Canis lupus familiaris: one gene and its partners. The protein of the gene in region 1 purifies or fractionates together with the protein of each later gene. This does not show direct contact. Links are inferred from orthologs where the notes say so. Each region holds a gene or a part of one and is shown in the gene's direction. Other genes may lie near its edges.

What was found.
Region 2: the proteins of ITGB1 (region 1) and ITGA9 purify together in Homo sapiens (affinity purification with mass spectrometry; 3 studies listed by BioGRID and IntAct, counting the BioPlex papers as one, with this or other methods). This does not show direct contact. The link is inferred for Canis lupus familiaris from reciprocal best matches to the Homo sapiens genes ITGB1 and ITGA9.
Region 3: the proteins of ITGB1 (region 1) and CD63 purify together in Homo sapiens (affinity purification with western blotting; 3 studies listed by BioGRID and IntAct, with this or other methods). This does not show direct contact. The link is inferred for Canis lupus familiaris from reciprocal best matches to the Homo sapiens genes ITGB1 and CD63.

The regions. Positions count from the first base shown.
Region 1 is NC_049223.1:3,937,812-3,941,884, forward strand, and holds the start of ITGB1 (integrin beta-1), read left to right. Parts: upstream 1-1,266; 5' UTR 1,267-1,424; intron 1,425-4,073.
Region 2 is NC_049244.1:7,516,936-7,521,167, forward strand, and holds the start of ITGA9 (integrin alpha-9), read left to right. Parts: upstream 1-1,432; coding exon 1,433-1,617; intron 1,618-4,232. UniProt on the Homo sapiens protein: Integrin alpha-9/beta-1 (ITGA9:ITGB1) is a receptor for VCAM1, cytotactin and osteopontin. It recognizes the sequence A-E-I-D-G-I-E-L in cytotactin. ITGA9:ITGB1 may play a crucial role in SVEP1/polydom-mediated myoblast cell adhesion.
Region 3 is NC_049231.1:478,431-482,686, reverse strand, and holds the start of CD63 (CD63 antigen), read left to right. Parts: upstream 1-1,456; 5' UTR 1,457-1,543; intron 1,544-1,940; 5' UTR 1,941-1,950; coding exon 1,951-2,016; intron 2,017-2,793; coding exon 2,794-2,982; intron 2,983-3,173; coding exon 3,174-3,248; intron 3,249-3,350; coding exon 3,351-3,446; intron 3,447-3,555; coding exon 3,556-3,696; intron 3,697-3,927; coding exon 3,928-4,011; intron 4,012-4,178; coding exon 4,179-4,244; 3' UTR 4,245-4,256. UniProt on the Homo sapiens protein: Functions as a cell surface receptor for TIMP1 and plays a role in the activation of cellular signaling cascades. Plays a role in the activation of ITGB1 and integrin signaling, leading to the activation of AKT, FAK/PTK2 and MAP kinases.

The DNA.
Region 1 (4,073 bases):
AACACCATATTTTTATGGATGCAATTTTAGGTCTTAACCAATTTTACCTCTTAACCATGTTCCCCATAAATGGGCCTCCAGATTAATCTAACAAAAGGAGATCCCTAACTTACCAGTTTTTCTTTTCTCTAAAACTTTCCTAAAAATCCATCTTTCTTGGCATTGACCGCCTTCCTGTCTTCACCACCTCATACAGCCAAGTCAAGCCAACTATCCACTCCAGTCAACAGTAGTGGCTTTAGCTAATTCCCTAGAAGTTAAAGTTTGGGCCCCTGGAAGCCCCAGAGGGTGGGTGATCCTCTGGATGTGCCTGGGACTGAAGGAGATCCTGGGCTGACGGGACCACTGGGTGTGGCTCTGGGGCAGTGGACCGCAAGGCCCAGCAGGTGTTCAGCCCCAGGCTCCCGACGCCCCCCCCCCCCCCCCACGCACCTCCCTCGGTCGGTCGGTCGGCGGGAGCGGAAACTGAGGCACAGCGAAGGCCCAGTCCCAGGCCAGCTCCCACCCTGCTCCTTGGGCCTGGCCTCGGCTTTCTGGCCCCCTCCTCCTGGTCCCCCTGCTCCCGTGCTCCCCCGTCCTTGGGATCCTGCTCCCCTGCGCGTCCTCCCCTCCTCCTGCTCCCGGTCCTCGGGATCCTGCTCCCTCTGCCGGTCCTCCCCTCGTCTCCTCCTCCCCTCCTCCTGCTCCCCGTCCTCCGGATCCTGCTCCCCTGCGCGTCCTCCCCTCCTCCTGCTCCCGGTCCTCGGGATCCTGCTCCCTCTGCCGGTCCTCCCCTCGTCTCCTCCTCCCCTCCTCCTGCTCCGGTCCTCGGGATCCTGCTCCCCTGCGCGTCCTCCCCTCCTCCTGCTCCCGGTCCTCCGGATCCTGCTCCCTCTGCCGGTCCTCCCCTCGTCTCCTCCTCCCCTCCTCCTGCTCCGGTCCTCGGGATCCTGCTCCCCTGCGCGTCCTCCCCTCCTCCTGCTCCCGGTCCTCCGGATCCTGCTCCCTCTGCCGGTCCTCCCCTCGTCTCCTCCTCCTGCTCCCTCTGCCGGTCCTCCCCTCCGTCTCCCCCGCCCCTCCTCCTCTCCCGCCCGCCCGCCCTCCCTCCGCGCTCCTCCGGCGTCCTCCTCCCCTCCCCGCCTCAGGCGAGCTGACGCCGCCCGGCAGGAATGCGTTTCCGGAGGGAGGGGAGCAGGAGCGGCCGCGGCGGCCGGAGGAGCAGGAGCGGCGGGGCCGAAGAGGCGGTGCCGCGGGGGTCGTTTCCTGCCGGGAGGCGGCTCCGGGCGGCCGAGTCTCCTGCCCCCGCCCCCGAGGAGGAGGAGCCGCCGCCGCCGCCGCGCCCGAGAGCCGGGAGGCCGCGCTAGCCGTCGGGAGAGGCCGAGCCGAGTCCCGGAGTCCCGGAGCTGCAGGCCCCAGCCGACCGCGGCCCGGACGCCCCGGAGAAGGTGGCGCCGTGTGTGCGCGCGTGTGTGCGTGTGCGCGTGTGCGCGTGTGTGCGTGTGGCGGGCGGCGCGGGCCGGGGCGCCGCGGCCGGGCCTGCGTGGGGCGGGGGCGGGGGCGGGGCGGCGGGCGCGGTGGCGGGGCTGCGGGACGAAACGCTGCCCCGGGGCCGGGGCGGGGGCCGGGGCCGGGGCGGGGGCCGGGGGCCGGGGGCCGGGGGCCGGGCCGGCTGCGCCCGCCGAGGCCCGGAGCTCGTCCCGCCGCCTCGCGAGTGGGGGTCGCGGGCCTGGGCGCTGTCCCGCCGCGGTGGGGGGCCCCGAGCGCGCGGAGCGAGCCGGCCTGCCTCGTGGGCCGCCTGGGCCCGGGTTCCGCGTGCGGGGAGGGGCGAGCGGGGCCGCCCGCGGCCCGAGGCCCCGGGGCTTGGAGCGAGCCCTTGCGGCTTCCCTTTGTTCCCGGTCCCGTCGGGGCCGCTCTCCCCCGAGCGGCCTGGAGCGTAGTAGCGCGCTTCCCGCTTGCAGAAGTCGGGCCGCAGCCTTCAGGGCCTGCTGCCGGGGCTAACTGCGGGCCGGGCCCAAAGAGAGGCGGGCGTCGGGAGCCGGGGAAGGCGCGGGCTTGGCGACTTGGGGTGTGTGAGGGCCGCGCCGAGTGGGGGGTCCCTCAGCAGGGGGCCGGCCAGGGGCTCCCGCGGCTCTGCAGGAGCCAGTGCCCACCTGCCCTGGGGCCCGGCCTCTTACTGCGCCTCAATTCTTGGGCTTCCTAACAAGTTGTAGTTACTACCAATATTTTATGCCTAAGTCATTTTTATTTCATCGAATTTGTACTTTTTAGTCAAAAACTAACACTAGTAAATTACCCTCTTGGGGCTTCCATTTCCTCACCCGTAAAATGGGAACAAGAATACCTACACTAATAATAAAAGCAGCTATTCTAGTAAGGACAGTGCGGGCCGTGGTTAGCTCTACGCACTTTACCTGTGTTTATCCTGGAACCAATACAATGAGGTAGGTGCAGTTTTTATACTCATTTTACTAGTGAAGAAACTGAGGCACAGGAGGCCTAAGTAATTTGCCTCTGATCATCCAGCCTAGTGAGTGAAGAACCCATGGGGTCTAGCACCAGAGCCCATGTTTGAATCACAGGTTCAAGTAACAGGTTCCATAAAGACCATAGAGTTGTGAATATCAGATGTAATATGTAAAACAGCTTACAGTAGATGCTAAATGCATAGGACTCCTTTCTGTCTCTTCTTGATATATGAAAAAGATTTAAAAAAAAATCTCAGGACGTAATTGATCCGCTATGCTGTTATTTTTGGTTGTTTTGATGGTATAAAAATAATGTGAAATAAATGTTGGTTAGGCATTTTTCCGAAAGGGCATACAGCCTTTAGTTATATTAATAGACCACTTTTAGAAATGATTAAGGAATTTCAGGTGGAAGTTAACCTAGTCTACATCTGTGAACATCTACACCCACAGGGGATGGTAATTAAGAGTTCACTACAGTGTTCATATTTTTAAATAATTTTAGTTCATTGATCAATATTAAATGAGTGGCTTAAGATAATGAAGTGATACATAGGAAACAGAGGGACAGGTCTGTTGGGGACAGGGCTCTGGGGAAAAAGCCATTTATTTATTTGAAAATTCATAAAATGGAAGATGTTATTAGAATGTTAGCTAAAAAGACAGGGGATGTGGTTAATACTTTTGTAAATAGAAAGCAAATAAATTCCAAATGAAGGTATCTGTGTTGACTTCACAGACTTAAAATTTAGTTTTTGTAATGTTGAGTCTCTTTAAAAGAATGCTGAATTCTCCATTATGATTATTTTATATTACTATTTTATAATACCCTCAACAGTCTGTACGTGAAAAAATATAGAATCAACAATATTGAAAATTGCTAGGTTTAGTGATTTTAACAATTAGGTGGTTTTTTTCTTAACTCTCTGGTCAATATAATTAAAATCTGGCCCAAATTTCCATCACTGAATGAATATGCAGTTCTGCATGGTTATCAATAAACTCCTAACTCCAGGAGCTTCTCTGGGGACGTCTGGTCATTTTGTAATAGGCAGAATTAATCAGTTTAATGTGCCAGTTTTAACGGAATACTTGCCACATAATAGCTTTATTGTTTGGCTTCTTGTCAAATAAATTGCGGCTTACGATATGGGGGTGGGGTAGTATAACACTCTACCTCAGGAAAATATTTTTCTTTGATATTCGGTTGGTACACTGGTCTGTTCTTAACTACACTGCTGGAATGATGAGATGAAACATCTTTTGCCGGTTCAAAGTTGCAGAACTTCTGACTTCTGAGATTTTCAGTTTCTGAATGTATAAAAGCTTGAATGTATCTAAGGACTTATATGGACTCTTGTTAAATTTTAGATTTCCTCACTCTGCATGGAAAGTTAGGATGTATCAGGTTGGGGTAGAATCCTAGAGGATTATACTGTGCAAATATGAAAATATGTCTTGTGGTATTAGTGGGTCTGTTCTAACTTTGGTCATATATTGTGGGGGTTTTGTTCTTTTTTGTTGTCATAGTGGGAGTCTTGGGGAAGGGGGATGGATTGACAGGGATAACAGTAAGGAAGAGTGCCTTAGTCTTCAGGATCCTGAAATGGAAGCAGTATCTATAAATGT
Region 2 (4,232 bases), on another chromosome or scaffold:
TAGTAGAATTTTGTGCGCTGTCTGTGGGATGGAAAATGATGCAGCTGTTGTAGAAAACATTATGGTAGTCCTTAAAAAATTAAATACAGAACTGCTATATGATACCGCAATCCTACTTCAGGGGCATATACCTTAAAGACCTGACTGCGATTATCTCAAACAGGTAACTGTACCCTTATATTCATAGCAGTATTATTCACATTCACAATAGCCAGAGGGTGGAACCAACCCAAGTGTCCATCAAAGGATCAATATATAAAGAAAACATGTATGTACAATATTATTCAGCCTTAAAAAGGAAGGAAGTACTGACACCTGCTCCGACCTAGGTGAACCTCGAGGGCATTTTGCTAAGTGGAATAAGCCAGCCACATAGGATTCCCCTCATATGAAGTCCTGAGAGCAGGAGAGCAGTCCAGTTCAAAGACAGAAAGTGGAACGATGGTTGCCAAGGACTGGGGGAGGGGAGGATTGGGCAGTTAGTGTTTAATGGATGTAGAGTTTCGGTTTTGCAAGACAGGAAAGTTCTAGAGATGAGCGGTGGTGGATGCACAACAACCTAAGTGAACTTAATGCCATGAAGCTTGTACACTTAAAGACGGTGAAGATGGTAAGTTTCATACTGTGTATATTTCATCACAGTAACAACACCTGACTCCCCCCACACAGCTGGGCCCAACCCTCAGAGCTTCTTCGTGTTTGTATTTTTTTTAAGATTCATGTATTTATTTATTCATGAGACACACAGGGAGAGGCAGAGACCTAGGCCGAGGGAGAGGCAGGCTCCCTGCGGGGGCCCCGGGGCGGGGCTCAATCCCTGGGCCAGCGCATCACAACCGGAGTCACCACTGGGCCCCGCGCTCCCCGAGCCCCCAACCCCGGGCTTCTGGTTCCTCGGGTCCCCGCTCCCCGCCTCGGCTGGAGGTGACCGCCCGTCGGGCCGCGGCGCCCCCAGTCCTTCGCGCGTCCTCCGGCGCCCGCTGGGGTGCGAGGCCCGCAGGGGGCGGGGCCGCGGCGGGGGCGGGCGGCGGGCCTCGGGCCTCGGGCGGTCGGCAGGGGGCGCCGGCGCGCCGTCCCCCGTCCCCGTCCCCGTCCCCGTCCCCCGCCGTCCCCGCCGCCCCGGGCCGCCCACCCCGCGGGCGCGCCTCCCCGCAGTCCAGCGCCGCCCGGCCGGGACCGCTCGCTCGGGGCGCGCAGACCTCGCGGCCGCAGCGTGGACGCCGCCCGCCGCCGCCGCCCCCGCCGCCCCCGCCGCCCGTCCCCCGCTCGGCCCCGCCGCCCGCGCTCGCCTGCCGTCCCGGGCCCGCGCCGCTGCCCGCCAGCCTCGGAGCGCAGCCCGCCCCGGGAGCCTCCCGGCCGTCGGCGACCCGCGGCCCCGCGCCCTCGCGCTCGGCGCCCGGCCCGGGGACAGCGAGGGCGGCGGCCGGCGGGGATGGGGGGCCCGGCGGCGCGGAGGGGCGCCGGGGGGCTCCGCGCGCTGCTGCTGGCGCTGGTGGCCGCGGGGACGCCCGCCGACGCCTACAGCCTCGACCCGCAGCGCCCGGTGCGCTTCCAGGGCCCCGCCGGCTCCTTCTTCGGCTACGCGGTGCTGGAGCACGTCCACGACCACACGCGCTGGTGAGTGCCCCGCGGGCCGGGGTCCTGGGTCCGGGGTCCTGGGTCCTGGGTCCTGGGTCCGGGGTCCGGGGTCCTGGGTCCGGGGTCCTGGGTCCTGGGTCCGGGGTCCGGGGTCCCGCCGGAGCCCAGCTCTCCCCGCGCCCCGCCCGCAGGCTTGGCTGCTCCGTCCGAGGCCCCGAGCCAGCAGCCCCGCCGCTCCGGGCGCAGGCTCCTCGGCCGCGGGAGCTCCGGGCGACGCCGCCTGCCCCAGGCCACTCTGCTGCGTGGTGCCGGGCGAGGCTCAGCCCCCGGGGCGCGTGTGTAGGGAGGCGGGGACCCAAGGCAGTGTCTGGGAGCCCGCGGGGCACCCTGCGGCCCAGAGGCCCCCTCCCTCCTTGCCGGGCCTCCGGGGAAGCAAGCTGCGAGGGTCCAGGATGCTGGGTGGGACGGCGGCCCTGGACCCTAAGTCACAAGGCTGGTGGGTGACTTCTGGGGCAGCCTGGGCCTCCTTTCCCACGGGCCATCGGACCTGGAGACAAGCACCTGAGGTTTTAGAAGAGGGATGTGGTTCTCTAGAGGTCAAGGAGTCTAGTTTGCTCCTCGAGAGTCCCAGAGGGTAGGAACCTGCCTCCATTAAGTGCCAGCAGCTAACAGGCACAGAGCGTGACTGCCCAGCCCCTGCGGAGTGCCACGGAGATGAGGTTGGTTCCTCCTTGACCCCTTCCCCAGGCACGTGGAAACCCCACAGCACACAAGGGTCACCTCTTCATCAGAGAGTTAGACCACAGACAGTTCTCCTATTCAAGGTCATGGCCCAGTGGGCCCTGGGTGACAGGCAAGTCTGGAGTTGGTTTTATTGTGTGGGCACCAGTGTGAGTATCCTTTGGGGATGCAGGTTAGGAAGGTGAGGTCAGGAATGTGTGCTCTCCACATGCAGCTCTGTGAGACCGTCACTGCTCTGAATTGGACAGAAGCTGATCAAAAAGGGTGCGTTTGGGGGATCCCTGGGTGGCTCAGCAGTTTGGCGCCTGCCTTTGGCCCAGGGCGCAATCCTGGAGTCCCGGGATCGAGTCCCACGTCAGGCTCCCAGCATGGAGCCTGCTTCTCCCTCCTCCTGTGTCTCTGCCTCTCTCTCTCTCTCTCTATGTCTATCATAAATAAATAAATAAATCTAGAAAAAAAATCTTGAAAAAGGGTGCGTTTGGGGACACCTGGGTGGCTCAGCAGTTGAGCGTCTGCCTTCAGCTCAGGACGTGATCCTGGAGTCCGGGATCGAGTCCCAAGTCAGGCTCCCTGCATGGAGCCTGCTTCTCCCTCTGCCTGTATCTTTCTCTGCCTCTCTCTCTCTCTGCATCTATCATGAATAAATAAATAAAATCTTTTTTTAAAGGTGGGTTTGTAGGTCTGAGCATTCCTGGGAAAGGGTGACTCCATGACCGGCCAGCGTGTTCACAATCATATTGTTTAGGAGAACTGCCTCCAAGAGGACCAGTTTTTAAAGTCCTTTGTGGCCCCTGTCCAGTCCTGCATCTCCTTCTCTACAGTTTACTCCAGTTGCTGAGTGTAAGGCTAGATTATCTTTTTCTGCATTGCCAAATCCCCCTTTTTTAAATTTATTTTTTCAAATCCCCCTTTTAAAGCCAAGCAGGCCTTTTCCATGTCCCGCATGTCCAGAGTCCACTGTGGGCTTTGGATTTGGTAGAGAATACAACAGGAGCAGTTGGAGAACGCATCCCGGAACCCCACGCTGGGCTCTTGGACTGTGTGGCCTTGGCACAAAGTATGTGGAGCCAACGGTCAGGAATTGAAGGGCTTCTCTGGGCAGGGGGCTCTCGAGGAAAGGCAGGCAGATGCTCAACCACTGAGCAACCCAGGAGTCCCTTTATCATAGTTTTGCTATGTCCTTGATGTCTGTCCTCTTGCTGCTTTTTCCCAGCATTTTCCTCCCTAGCCTTTTCTCTCCTCTCCCTTCCCTCCAATATTCTTTGTCTTAGACCTTGAATGTTATTCTCAGCTGATTCTGCTGTCCAGACTTTGTCAACTGTGGCTCTTGAAGCAATAGACTTCCAGCCACGCCTCCTTTCTCTTTCTTTTCTCTGGAAACTAGACTCCCCATGAGGCCAAGGAAACTTCTACCAAAGCCCCCTCACTCACATGGGCCCCCACCAAGACCCTGTGCCTAAATTTATTTTATTTTATTTTTTTTAAGATAGATTTATTTATTTATTTATTTATTTATTTATTTATTTATTTATTTATCTATGATAGACATAGAGAGAGAGAGAGAGAGAGAGAGAGAGAGAGAGGCAGAGACACAGGAGGAGGGAGAAGCAGACTCCATGCCGGGAGCCCGACGCGGGACTCGATCCCGGGACTCCAGGACCGCGCCCTGGGCCAAAGGCAGGCGCTAAGCCGCTGAGCCACTCAGGGATCCCCTAAATTTATAGTCCTAACTTTGTCTGAAAGGTAGTCACCCTAAATTTACGAGATCCAGGCTCTGTGGAATCTGGATCTACCCAATGTCTCTAAACGTTTAGCTCTGGGGTTGGTTGAGTGACTTAGCGACTGATTGCTGGTCTCTTCCTACTGGGCAGTCCCTGGGCCCTGGGCCACTAGAGATGCAGACTCCTCAAAAC
Region 3 (4,256 bases), on another chromosome or scaffold:
CCTTGTCTCTGAACCCAGAGCTTGTTTATCCTCTGAAGTCCCCTCAGGGACTGCCACCCACTTTCGTGGTGCAAAGGGGTTTCCTTCTCCTCTGGGGCAGATGCACCGCCCGCCACCGCCGAGAGCGTCCACCCGCCACCGGGAGGCCGCGGGTGTCACACGGGGGTCCGGCTCCCGGGCTGCGGGGCCCAGGCCGAGCCCTCTCGGTTCCCCGGGAGTCGACGTGGCTCCTCGGCTCCTCGCGGCCTGCCCGTGGGAGCGAGGAGCCAGGCCCCCAACGCGCTTGCTCAGCTCGCTCCAAGGCTGTGGCCCCCATCGCTTGCCTTTTGCTCTTGCAGTTTCTTGCCTCTTCGGGTACAGAAGACTCGGGAAGCGGTTGAGTCAGGACCTAAGACCCGACGGGGTGGGACCCGGCCGCGGAGCGCGGATTCTCGGGGTCACGTCCGGCCTGGGAGCCACGGCGCGGTGGAGGGGCAGCTGGGGGGCAGCTGGACGTGGGGCAGCTGGGGGGGGGCAGCTGTGGGGGCAGCTGGAGGCTGTAGCTGGAGGCCGCAGCTGGAGGACACAGATGGACGGGGCAGCTGGAGGGGGCAGCTGGAGGAGGCAGCTGGGGGAGCAGCTGGAGGGAGCAGCTGGGGGGGGCAGCTGGAGGGGATAGCTGGGGGGCAGCTGGAGGCCGCCCCCGGACGCCGCCCCCGCCCCTTCCCCAGCCGGGGCTGCGAGCTGCTGCCCGCGAGGCCGGGACGGGCACTTGCAGAAGGCAGAGGCCTGCCTGCGCAGCCTCCCCAGACCGCGGCCGAGCCCGGCGCGCCGGGGGCACAGAGGCGTCAACCGCCCCTAGAGGGGGGCGCAGGCTCCGAGGGCCTCCTGCGGTGCTCAGCACCCCCCACCCCCCCGCAGCCCGGAGGCCGGGCCGGCACCCACAGGCGAGGCACCCACAGGCGAGGCGCCCGCTGCAAAGGTTGGGGGACTCCCGGGATGTGAGGCCAGGGACTTTCTGGAAGCTTTTTCCCGACCGCCTGCACCCGACGCCAGGGAGCTCGCAGCGCCCTCTGCCGACGCGGGGCGGGGGCTTCAGCCGGGCCGGAGCGGGGCCGGGAGCGGGGCCGGGAGCCGGGCCGGGGATGGGGGCGCCTCCCGAGCACCTCCCGTCGCGCGGCCCGGCCCGGCGGCTCGCAGCGTAACCCGGGTCCGGACCGCACGGAGTCGGGGGCCGCCGGCCCCGCCCTCCCAGCCCAGGGGCCCCGGGCCCCGCGGCCCAGCCCCGCCGCCTTCCGTCGCGGGGGGGCGCCTTCCGGGCAGGGGCCACGTGGCCCTGGCGGGCGGGGGGCTCGGCCCTCCCCTCGGCGGCCGGGTGACTCAAGCCGCAGCTGTTCCCGCGTCACGAGGGAGGCCGGCGGCCCGGGCGGAGGGGGGGCCGGGGCTGGAGCCGGGGCGGGGCCGCGGCGGGCGGGCGGGGCGCAGGCGGGGGGCGCCGCTAAAGAGCCCGGGGCGGCGGCGGCGGCGGCGGCGGGAGAGCGGAGCGCAGCGTCGGGGAGCCCAGGTGAGGCCGCGGGCCCGGCCTGCGTGCGGGCGGGGTCCGGGGTCCGGGGTCGCGGGCGGCCGCCCCCGCCGCGGCTCGGCCCGGAGCCCAGGGCCCGCCGCACTCCCGAGCCCTCGCCACTTTGCAACTTCGCGAAGTTCCGGAGGCCCCGGCGGCGGCGACCGTGCGTGGGGAGCCGGGAGCGCGGGGCCGGGGGCGGGGGCCCGGGGCGGGGACGGGCTGCGGCCGGGAGGGCGCCCTGGGGCCGGGGCGGGGCCGGGCGGGAGGGCGGCGGTCGCCCCCGCCGCTCTCGGGCCCAGGAGGAGAGGGGGCTGGGGACGTGGCCCCGACCGCGGGTTTCCGGGTGGGAGGGGCCGGGACCGGGGGCCCCGACGCCCCTCACCGGCGCCCCCCGCAGGCCTGCAGCCATGGCGGTGGAAGGAGGAATGAAGTGTGTCAAGTTCCTGCTCTACGTCCTGCTGCTGGCCTTCTGCGTGAGTGCGAAGGGGGCCCTGGGGCCCGGACGCGGGAGGAAGAGCCGGGGGCCGCAGCGCGCCCACCGCCGCAGCTTTCGGGGACCTCCGAGGCGGTGCGGACCCAGGACGGACGGCGTGGGCGCGCCGCACCCTCCCCCTCGCCCCTTCTGGCCCTTCCTGTCCGGTGACCCAACCGCTGTGATAGGGCAGTGGGGCAACCGGCCAACGGCCGCCTGATGGCTATCGCCGCGGGGCCCCCTCTCCCCCGCACCCCGCCTGCCCTGCCCCTCACCCCCTCGTTCCCTGCTTCCCCGGGCTCCTGTCGGCTGCCGGGGGTGGGAAAGGCCTCTGCCCACCTCGGTTTGCTCCCGTCCTGGCCTCCCGGCCTCACACGCTGCTCTTTGTCCGGGGAGGGGCCCCACTCGTGCCTCTGCTTCTTGTCCCCTCCGCCCCCGGCCTTGTGGCCTGAGGAAGCCCCGTCACAACTGATGAGGGTAGGGCAGGCCGGGAGGCTGCGGCTGGGGCGCGCCTGGGCGCCCTAGAGGCCCCGAGGAAGTACCACTCTAGGTGAGGATACATGCCCTGGGGTCAGGGCTTTCTGGGAACTTCTCTGTTGGCATTTGATCAAACTGTGGGGGCAGATACGGGTTGTCCTCCTTCCCTGCAATCCTTCCTGGAGGCGCGCGAATCCGTCTCCCTGGGTGGGGCTACGTCTGTGCTTGGGCGTACCTGCTGCCCCCTGCGCGGAGGCCTGATGGCTGGTGGGCCCGGCCTAACCCTGACCTGTCCTCACAGGCCTGTGCGGTGGGGCTCATCGCCGTGGGTGTAGGGGCCCAGCTGGTCCTGAGTCAGACCATTGTCCAGGGGGCCACGCCTGGCTCCCTGTTGCCCGTGGTCATCATCGCAGTGGGCGCCTTCCTCTTCCTGGTGGCCTTTGTGGGCTGCTGTGGGGCCTGCAAGGAGAACTACTGTCTTATGATCACGGTGAGCCGGGTGTGGGGCCGCTGTGGGTGCCTGGGCCTGCTGGGAGGGGCTTCTAGGGAGAGGGGGATCCAGGGGCGAAGCGAGGCAGGTGGGGGAGGAGAACCTCTCTGAGTGGGCTAGAGGCTGGCTGGGCCACAGCAGGCCACTCTCACCGGGACTCCACACCTGACCCCTGTCCGCTGTGCCCGCAGTTTGCCATCTTCCTGTCCCTTATCATGCTGGTGGAGGTGGCCGCAGCCATCGCTGGCTATGTGTTTAGAGACAAGGTAAGCGGGGAGGAAGCAGAGGGCCCTGCCTCACAGGGCTGGCTGCTCTGGGACGCGCGTGCCCTAAAGTCTGACCCCCACGATGCTCTTTCCTGCTCCCAGGTGATGTCAGAGTTTAATAAGGACTTCCGGGAGCAGATGAAGAATTATCAGAAAAACAACCACACGGCTTCGATCCTGGACAGGATGCAGGAGGATGTGAGTGAGCTTGCTGGGAGCGGCTAGCGGGGAGGAAGAGTCTCATCTCCGTGTCGAAGGCGGAGGTTTAGGTAACAAGCCCCTGCCCTGTATTTCTCTCGTCCTGCAGTTTAAGTGCTGCGGGGCCGCTAACTACACAGACTGGCAGACCGTCTCTCTCATGCCCAAGGGCCAGGTCCCTGACTCCTGCTGCATCAATGTCACGAAGGACTGTGGGATTTCTTTCAATGTGAAGAATATCTACTCTGAGGTGGGGAAGCAGCTGAGATAGCAGGGGACTGGGAAAACTTGGGAAAGGTTTCTAGGGTTGAGAGGGCCCAGGGATGGAGGTGGAGAGGGTTGGGGCCCTGGGATGCGGAGGGCATCTGGGAACGTTAGCAGTGCGGTGAACGGTGCAGAGCGGGGGAGAGCCAGATGGAGCAGAGGAGGTGGGTGGGAAGTTTCTGACTCCGTTCTCGCTTGTGTGCCCACCGTCCTTCAGGGCTGCGTGGAGAAGATTGGGGGCTGGCTGAGAAGCAATGTGCTGGTGGTGGCTGCAGCGGCCCTGGGCATTGCCTTCGTGGAGGTGAGAGGCCCCCTTGGGACTCATTCTGGGGCATCTGGGCAATTGGGGCAGTGGGAGGAGGGTGCTAGGGAAGTCCTGGCCTGGGGAACCTGGGGCCCCTGGTTGTGTTTGGGGTCTCCTGAGTGGGCCTGGGATACTTTGCCTTTCTGACTCCTCTTTGCTTTTAGGTACTGGGAATTGTCTTCGCCTGCTGCCTCGTGAAGAGTATCCGAAGTGGCTATGAAGTCATGTAGGGGTCTGGTCTC